Linked DNA regions of Macaca fascicularis. The protein of the gene in region 1 purifies or fractionates together with the protein of each later gene. This does not show direct contact. Links are inferred from orthologs where the notes say so. Each region holds a gene or a part of one and is shown in the gene's direction. Other genes may lie near its edges.

Region 1 (4,480 bases):
CAAAGTGCTGGGATTACAGGCTTGTGCCACCGCGCCCGGCCTCTTTCTTTTTTTTTTTGAGAAAATATTTGAGATAGCCCAGGGCCTCTCTCTGGAGCCGCATCCCCTGCCCGTGTTGGCTTATCAAGTTGGCACTGAAGTTGGATCTCTAAAATGTTCACCAAGAAAGCCAACTCCTTCGTGTACTTTCAGTACTTAAAGCATGTGTTTTTATCTTTTAAATCCACGTTCAGCGTCGTGACACTTCAAGAGGTGGGCAGATTATTTGTTTGTGAATGAACAGCATTTATGAGAAATTTGGAGAAATTTGATGTTGAAGAGACACGAAGAATCCCGAGCTTTCCAAAACAGACTGAATGAAAATGCAAGCTCCTGGAGCAGGGGCCTCTGCTGGATGTTCGGAATCATGGGGCTGGTGGGGCCAGGAGTCTGTACTTTCATAACAGCCAAATTATCTAAAGTATATAGTCATTCCCAGTCCAAACTCTGTATGGAGAGAAAAAAATCTAAAAATGGCATATTCGGATTATGTTATTCTAGCTTCCCGTAGAAATCAGGCTTCAAGGAGCATACAGCATTCTTATCAACATGAGACACTGATTTTTAGGCAATATCTGTACCTTTCATAAAGCTGGCTAAAAGCATCTGCCAGTATTTATATAAGAATCCATGTCTGTTCTTTTTTTCCAAAAATCCTAGAGCAGTTGGTTCCTCAGATAAACCTGTGTGTTTCTTTTATCCAGTAAAAGCAGCGCATCCAGAGGTACTTGTTTCCTGGCCTTCTGCGAAGCCCACAGATAAATTAGGTCTCATCTGGAAACGTCCCATTTCAAAAGGCCTGCGGTATCTGTGCCTACCGATCAATTCACCGCCTCACTTTAAAATGTGAGTCTGTTCTTAGAAAGGATTTATAACTGCGTCTACTATAATAATAAAATGTAAGCAACCTTGCGCTAGGTACTGAAGAATTTCATAGCTTTGAACTCTCCAAAATGTTCTAGAAGCCAATATAGAAACCCAGAGATCTCAGTTTTTGTTTGCAGAAGGGACAGGAGAACCGGTCGTGTTCGCCCTCCCAAGTGCACAGCGCCAGCATAGGGTCTAACACACAGCCCAGGCTCTGTAAACGTTTGCTAAAAGAACGAATCAACAAGGAATAAATAATGGATAATAATAATAAATAATAGTGAATTCATTCTTCCTGCAGTCGTGGGTCTGGCGGGAATAAATTCCGGCCCGGATTCCGACCCCAGGGCCAGACCGGGACTCGCCTCGGCGCCTAGGAGGGGGCGGGGCTTCCCTGGGGTGCCGCCCACGTCGGGCGGGACCTGAGAGGCGCTTGAGGGGCGGGGCGTCCATGAGGTCCCACCCATGCGGGGGGCGGGGCCTGCGGCGCGCGGGAAGCGGCGCGCGCTGCGCGGGAGGTGACGGCGCCTCTGACCGTCCGGGTTCCTGCAGGTACGGCTTCCCGGGGCTGGCCCGGGCGGCTCCGCGGCTCTTTTGGTCAGGTCGATCTGGGGCCAGAGGCCCTCGCCCAGGGCCTGGGGCCCGGGATAGCTCCGGACGGCGCGCGTTCGGGCGGCGGGGCCCCGTCCACCCCCGGCCCCGCGCGGCCTCCTCCCGGCGGCCTCTGTCCCAGCTTCCCGGGCCCAGCGCCCGGACCCTGGGAAAGGCGGGGTTCTGCTCTCGCCCCGCCGCCCCGGTCCCCTACCCCGTTTGCCCCCCTCTTCCGGGAGGCCCCTCCCGGGGCGGGCCCCTACCTGGGCTCTCAGGGCGCGCCCCTAGACCCTACTAAGCGGGGACAGGCCGTGCAGATGGCCGGGGCCCCTAGGTAGCCTCTACCTGGATGTTTGGTTTTGCTTTTCTGGACGTAGCGGCGTATCATAAACTTGTGGATGTCAGGACCCAGCGAAGCATTTTAGGTGGAGCTAGCAAGGTGTTCTTGTCAGATGGCAACGTTAACATCCTTTCCCAATGCAGTGTGCATTTTAAATGGCTCCTGCCCTATTCAGCGCTCAGTAACCCTTCGCTGCTGCTAACACTGTTGTTTAATCCATCACCAGCATTTTGCAGCTTTCCTCCGTCTTGAAGTAGAACGGTGCCCGAGAAACGTTTTGCCCCTTCAAGACTCGGGAGGATGAAAGTCATCACTTGTGAAATAGCCTGGCACAACAAGGAGCCCGTGTACAGCCTGGACTTCCAGCATGGGGCGGCCGGGAGGATCCACAGACTAGCGTCTGCGGGCGTGGACACCGCTGTCAGGGTAAACTGGGGCAGAGATAGCCATCTGGGAACACTGCTTGAAGCAATAGTTTTCATTCTTTTATTTAAAACCAATGTCGGCTGGGCGCGGTGGCTCACGCCTGCAATCCCAGTGCTTTGGGAGGCTGAGGTAAGAGGATCACTTAAGTCCAGGAGTTCGAGACCAGCCTGGGCAACATAGCCAGAAATGAAAAAGTAGCAGGACGTGGTGGTGTGCAGCTGTAGGCCCAGCTACTTGGGAGGTTGAGGTGAGAGGATCGCTTGAGCCTTGGAGTTTGAAGCGAGCAACCATCACTCCACTGCACTCTAGCCTGGGTGACACAGCCAGACCCTTCTCTTAAGTAAATGAATGAATGAATTGAACATATGTCAACAAATTCAAACTACTCTGTCATCTAGCCCAGAATGCTAAATTTCCAGGGCCTGCGGTGAACAATGAAAGCAAAAGAGAGCTGCTTTTTTTTTTTTTTTTTTTTTTTTTGAGATGGAGTCTCGCTCTGTTGCCCAGGCGGGAGTGCAGTGGTGCAATCTCGACTTACTGCAACCTCTGCCTCCCAGGTTCAAGCTATTCTCTTGCCTCAGCCTCCCAAGTAACTGGGACTACAGCCACTCATTACCACACCCGGCTAATTTTTGTATAAAGTAGAGATGGGGTTTCACCATGTTGGCCAGGCTGGGCTCGAACTCCTGACCTCAGGTAATCCACCCACCTTGGCCTCCCAAAGTGCTGGGATTACAGGCCTGAGCCACCATGCCCTGGCTCTGCTTTCTTATTTGATTCATTTTCCCTAGATTATTGTAACTGGACGTTCATTGTTTTGGGATTCTGATCCTGGTTCCTATTGGGTAACAAGTTGCTCTAGAAAGAAGGCGGAGGGGAACAGTAGACATTTATGTTTTAGATGGGGATTTCTTTCTGAAAATAAGCATAGTTTTTTTTTTTTTTTTTTTTTTTTTTGAGACAGGGTCTTACTGTGTCGCCCAGGCTGGAATGCAGTGGCCTGATCTCGGCTCACTGCAGCCCTGACCTCCAGGGCTCAAGTGATCCTCCCACCTCAGCCTCCCGGGTAACTGGAACTACAGGCATGTGTCATCACACTTGGCTAATTTTTAAAATTTTCTGTAGAGACCAGGTCTCACTATGTTTCCAGGCTGGTCTTGAACTCCTGGCCTCAAGTGATTTACCCACCTTGGCCTCCTAAACTGCTAGGATTACAGTTGTGAGCCACCGCACCCAGCCCATAGTATTGTTTTAATACAAACAGTATAATATGTGCCCATTCTATGTTTTTCAAATGAATGTTTTGGTATTGACAGATCTGGAAGGTAGAAAAGGGACCAGATGGAAAAGCCATCGTGGAATTTTTGTCCAATCTTGCTCGTCATACCAAAGCTGTCAATGTCGTGCGTTTTTCTCCAACTGGGGAAATTTTAGCATCGGGAGGAGATGGTGAGTATTGCTGTTCTTCAGAGATTCTTTAGGCACCAGATAGATACCTGTGTGTCTCGTGTCAGATAGTGAGATTTGAGCTGAATATGCTTTTTTAGGAGGGGTGGGATAGAGTGTTGCTCTTATTCCCCAGGCTGGAGTGCAGTGGTGCAATCTCGACTCACTGCAACCTCCGCCTCCCGGGTTCGGGCGATTCTCCTGCCTCAGCCTCCCAAGTGGCTGGGATTATAGGCACCTGCCACCACGCCCGGCTAATTTTTTTTTTTTTTTTTTTTTGTATTTTTAGTAGAGATGGGGTTTCATCATGTTGGCCAGGCTGATCTCGAACTCCTGACCTCAGGTGATCCACCTGCCTCGGCCTCCCAAATTGCTGGGATTACAGGCATGAGCCACCGGGCCTGGCCTGGATATGCTTTTTATTTCAGATATGGCCGACCTTCTCAATCTGTCATTTAGGTAGTTCAGTAAAATAATGTTCTAGGGAGTGCGGTAGAATCGGAGAGGGAGGACAGCAAGATGACACTGGGAGCACCTGTTTGAAAACAGCTGCTTTCCTGCTAGCTCCCACTGGGCTCTTCCGAGACAAGATGGAGAGGCACTTACCTTTCCATCACATCCCAAGTAAGGCGGCTGTTCTGGTTTTGTTTGATTGTTAGTTTAATATCTGTGGTGATCAGAGTCAGTTCAGTGTCTCTGTATAATTAATTAATTGGCTTTAGGACTGCATTATTAATTAACTGGCTTTGGGAGTTTTTTTTTTTTTTAAAC
Region 2 (3,809 bases), on another chromosome or scaffold:
ACAGGTGTGAACCACCACACCCGGCCTTGTAGATGGACTCTTTCTACATGCAGTCTGTCTGTACATGCCAGTTTTACAGTATTTAGAAAACTCAAGCAGAGAAGTAACTCTTTCTTCCTTGTCTTGGATTACCTGCCATCCAAGTAATTCTTTGGCCAGTTTTGTTGATCAATTTTGTTTCATTGATATAGCGCCATCTACTGACAGAAATTGGTAATCTTTAAGTCTTGAAGTCTGTGAGAAGTCAGAGTTGGGTCCAGTAGCGCATGCCTGTTAATTCCAGTATTTTGGGAAACCGAAGCAGGCAGGTCATTTGAGGTCAGGAGTTGGAGACCAGCCTGGCCAACATGCTGAAACCCCATCTCTACTAAATATACAAAAATCAACCGGGCCTGGTGGTGGGCACCTGTAGTCCCAGCTACTCAGGAGACTGAGGCATGAGAATCGCTTGAACCCTAGAGGCGTAGGTGAGCCGAGATAGCACCATTACACTGCAGCCTGGGTGACAGAGGGAGACTCTGTCCCCCTCCCTCAAAAAAGTGAAATTTGGATGAAGGACTAAATAGATTTGTAAGATTTATAAGATGAAGGACTAAAATTTCAACACTGGAAAAACTCTTAGATGTTACCCAGCTTGATGATGTATTTTATAAAGGAGTAAACTCAGATTCTATTATCTTTGATAACTACAATTCTGTTTTCCCCACACTTGTTTTCCAGATTATTACAGGGTTCCAGTTTAGAATTGCATGGTCATTCTGGCATTTTTGTGACTCTTCCTTAGTTTTTAGAAATAAATTGGAGGCCAGGTGTGATGATTCATGCCTGTAATCCCAGTACTTGAGGCTGAGGCGGGAGGATCACTTGAGCCTAGAAGTTTGAAACAAGCCTAGGCAACATAGTGAGAGCTTGTCTTTACTGAAAATTTAAAAAGTTAGCCAGGCATGGTGGCATACACCTGTGGTTCCAGCTACTCAGGAGACTGAGGTAGGAGGATCACTTGAGCCCAGGAGGTCAAAGCTGCAGTGAGCCATAATTACTTCACTGCATTCCAACCTAGGTGATAGAGACACTGTCTCAAAAAAGAAGAAAAGTTGTTAAATAAACTAAATACAATAAGTTAACAAGAAATTTGTGAATTGTAAGTTCAATTCAGAAAAGAGTGCATAAAGAACAAGAGAACTCAGCTGGGCACAGTGGCTCATGCCTGTAATCCCAGCACTTTGGGATTCTGTGATGGGTGGATCACTTGAAGTCAGGAGTTTGAGACCAGCCTGGCCAACATGGCAAAACCCTGTCTCTACTAAAAATACAAAAACTAGCTGGGCATGGTGGCACACACCTGTAGTCCCAGCTACTCAGAAGGCTGAGGCAGAAGAATCACTTGAACCCGGGTGGCGGAGGTTGCAGTGAGCCAAGACTGTGCCACTGCACTCCAGCCTGGCTGGAGTGAGACTCCGTCTCAAAAAAAGGGGGGTGGGGTGGGGCGGGGCTTGGTGGCTCATGCCTGTAATCCCAGCACTTTGGGAGGCCACCATGGGCGAATCACGAAGTCAGGAGTTCAAGACCAGCCTGGCAGCCTGACCAACGTGGTGAAACCCTGTCTTTACTAAAAATACAAAAATTAGCTGGGCATGGTGGCTCACACCTGTAGTCCCAGCTACTCATGAGGCTGAGGCAGGAGAATCACTTGAACCCAGGAGGCGGAGGTTGCAGTGAGCCGAGATTGTGCCATTGCACTCCAGCCTGGGCTGGCGTGAGACTCCGTCTTAAAAGAAAAAAAAAAAAAAAAAAAGGCCGGGCAGGGTCATTCACGCCTCTAATCCCAGCACTTTGGAAGGCCAGGGCAGGCGAATCACGAGGTCAGGAGTCTCACTCTGTTGCCCAGGCTGGAGTACAGTCATGCGATCCTGGCTCATGACTGGCTAATTTTTGTATTTTTAGTAGGGACAGGGTCTTGCCATGTTGGCCAGGCTGGTCTTGAACCCCTGACCTCAGGCTATCTGCCCGCCTCCGCCTCCCAAAGTGCTAGAATTACAGGTGTGAGCCGCTGCGCCCGGCCTTCTTTGAGTTTAATGCAATATTTTAGCTACCATGCTCTTTTACAGATTTTTTGTGTGTGTGGAGATGGGGTCTTGCTATGTTGCCTAGGCTGGTCACACACTCCTGGGCTCCAGGAATTCTCCCACTTCGGCCTTCCAAAATGCTGGGATTGCAGATGTGAGCCTGCACGCGTGGCCCTAGCTACCATGCTTTATGGTAAAAGGAGTATTGGGAGCCTTTTTAAATGACAAATAATGGGTATAAAAGTTGTAAATGGATACACAAGAATAAAGAAGTTTGCTGTGAAGGCCAGGCGCAGTGGCTCACACCTGTAATTCCAACACTTTGGGAGGCCGAAGCAGGCGGATCACCTGAGATCAGGAGTTTGAGACCAGCCTGGCCAACATGTAGTGAAGTCCCGTCTCTACTAAAAAAAAACAAATACAAAAATTAGCTGGGCTTGGTGGCACATGCCTGCAGTCCCAGCTGCTTGGGAAGCTGAGGCAGGAGAATCACTTGAACCCAGAAGGCAGAGGTTGCGGTGAGCCGAGATTGTGCCACTGCACTCCAGCCTGTGCAACAAAGCAAGACTCCGTCTCTCAAAAAAAAGTTTCGCTGTAAGATTAATTGGGGCTTTTTTATGAGCTTTCTGACTGCACATATCAGAAAACTATTGTGTATCGAATGTGAGAATAGGCCTCACACTTATTGTAAGCAGCATATAATATTATCACCTGTCATGTCTCTGGTTTTCTTACCATCCAGATATTATCTAACCAATAAGAGTGCTCCCTAATTCCCTTTTTATTTCATTTATCATTTCAGCAGCGTCACCCTTTACACCAGAAAGCTGGCGGGCACTATGGGGAAAAAACAAAACAAGAAGAAAGTGGAGGAGGTGCTAGAAGAGGAGGAAGAGGAATATGTGGTGGAAAAAGTTCTCGACCGTCGAGTGGTAAAGGGCAAAGTGGAGTACCTCCTAAAGTGGAAGGGGTTCTCAGAGTAAGTTTCACTGACACAAGTAAATGTAGCCACCAGGTGTTTATCAGGAGTCTAGAGATGTATGAGACCTCCAGTGCTGTGATGGAAACTGTGTGACTCAGTCCCCACCTTCATGGCTTATTGTTTAATTAGGAACATGGCCTACTGCTTGTAATACAGAGCAGAATGACTTCTTTTTTAAAGTTCTTTCTTTTGAGACAAGGTCTCGCTCTGTCACCCAGGCTGGAGTACAGTGGTGCAGTCATAGCTCGCTGCAGCCTCAACCTCCCAGGCTCAAGGTATCCTCCCACCTCAGCCTCCTAAGTAGCTAGTACCACAGGCATGCACCACCATGTCTCACTTAGTTGCCCAGGTTTGTCTAACTCCTGGCCTCAAGCAGTCCTCCCACCTGGGCCTCCCAAAGTGTTGGGACTACAGGCGTGAGCCACTGTACCCAGCCCATAGTGATTTCTGAGAAATATTGTGTGTGGCTATAGACCGATTTAAATTGACAAATAAAAGTCATTTGCCTTTGAAGGAAGCCAGTTTCTTAGCTTTCTATTTATACTAAAAAGCCTCCCCATTCCCCAAGAAATTTCAGCTTTTCCATGGACGTCTGAGCTCTTGTCCTCTTACGATTATCCTTAGTATGATTATACTTATTTTGAGTGAAAGTGTGACTTGCTGTGCCCTCTGGTTTCAGTGAGGACAACACATGGGAGCCAGAAGAAAACCTGGATTGCCCCGACCTCATTGCTGAGTTTCTGCAGTCACAGAAAACAGCA

What was found.
Region 2: the proteins of CHAF1B (region 1) and CBX1 purify together in Homo sapiens (affinity purification with mass spectrometry; 4 studies listed by BioGRID and IntAct, with this or other methods). This does not show direct contact. The link is inferred for Macaca fascicularis from reciprocal best matches to the Homo sapiens genes CHAF1B and CBX1.

What each region holds. Positions count from the first base shown.
Region 1 is NC_088377.1:10,583,118-10,587,597, reverse strand, and holds the start of CHAF1B (chromatin assembly factor 1 subunit B), read left to right. Parts: upstream 1-1,398; 5' UTR 1,399-1,458; intron 1,459-2,063; 5' UTR 2,064-2,137; coding exon 2,138-2,263; intron 2,264-3,579; coding exon 3,580-3,712; intron 3,713-4,480. UniProt on the Homo sapiens protein: Acts as a component of the histone chaperone complex chromatin assembly factor 1 (CAF-1), which assembles histone octamers onto DNA during replication and repair.
Region 2 is NC_088390.1:58,653,299-58,657,107, forward strand, and holds part of CBX1 (chromobox protein homolog 1), read left to right. Parts: intron 1-2,868; coding exon 2,869-3,045; intron 3,046-3,727; coding exon 3,728-3,809. UniProt on the Homo sapiens protein: Component of heterochromatin. Recognizes and binds histone H3 tails methylated at 'Lys-9', leading to epigenetic repression. Interaction with lamin B receptor (LBR) can contribute to the association of the heterochromatin with the inner nuclear membrane.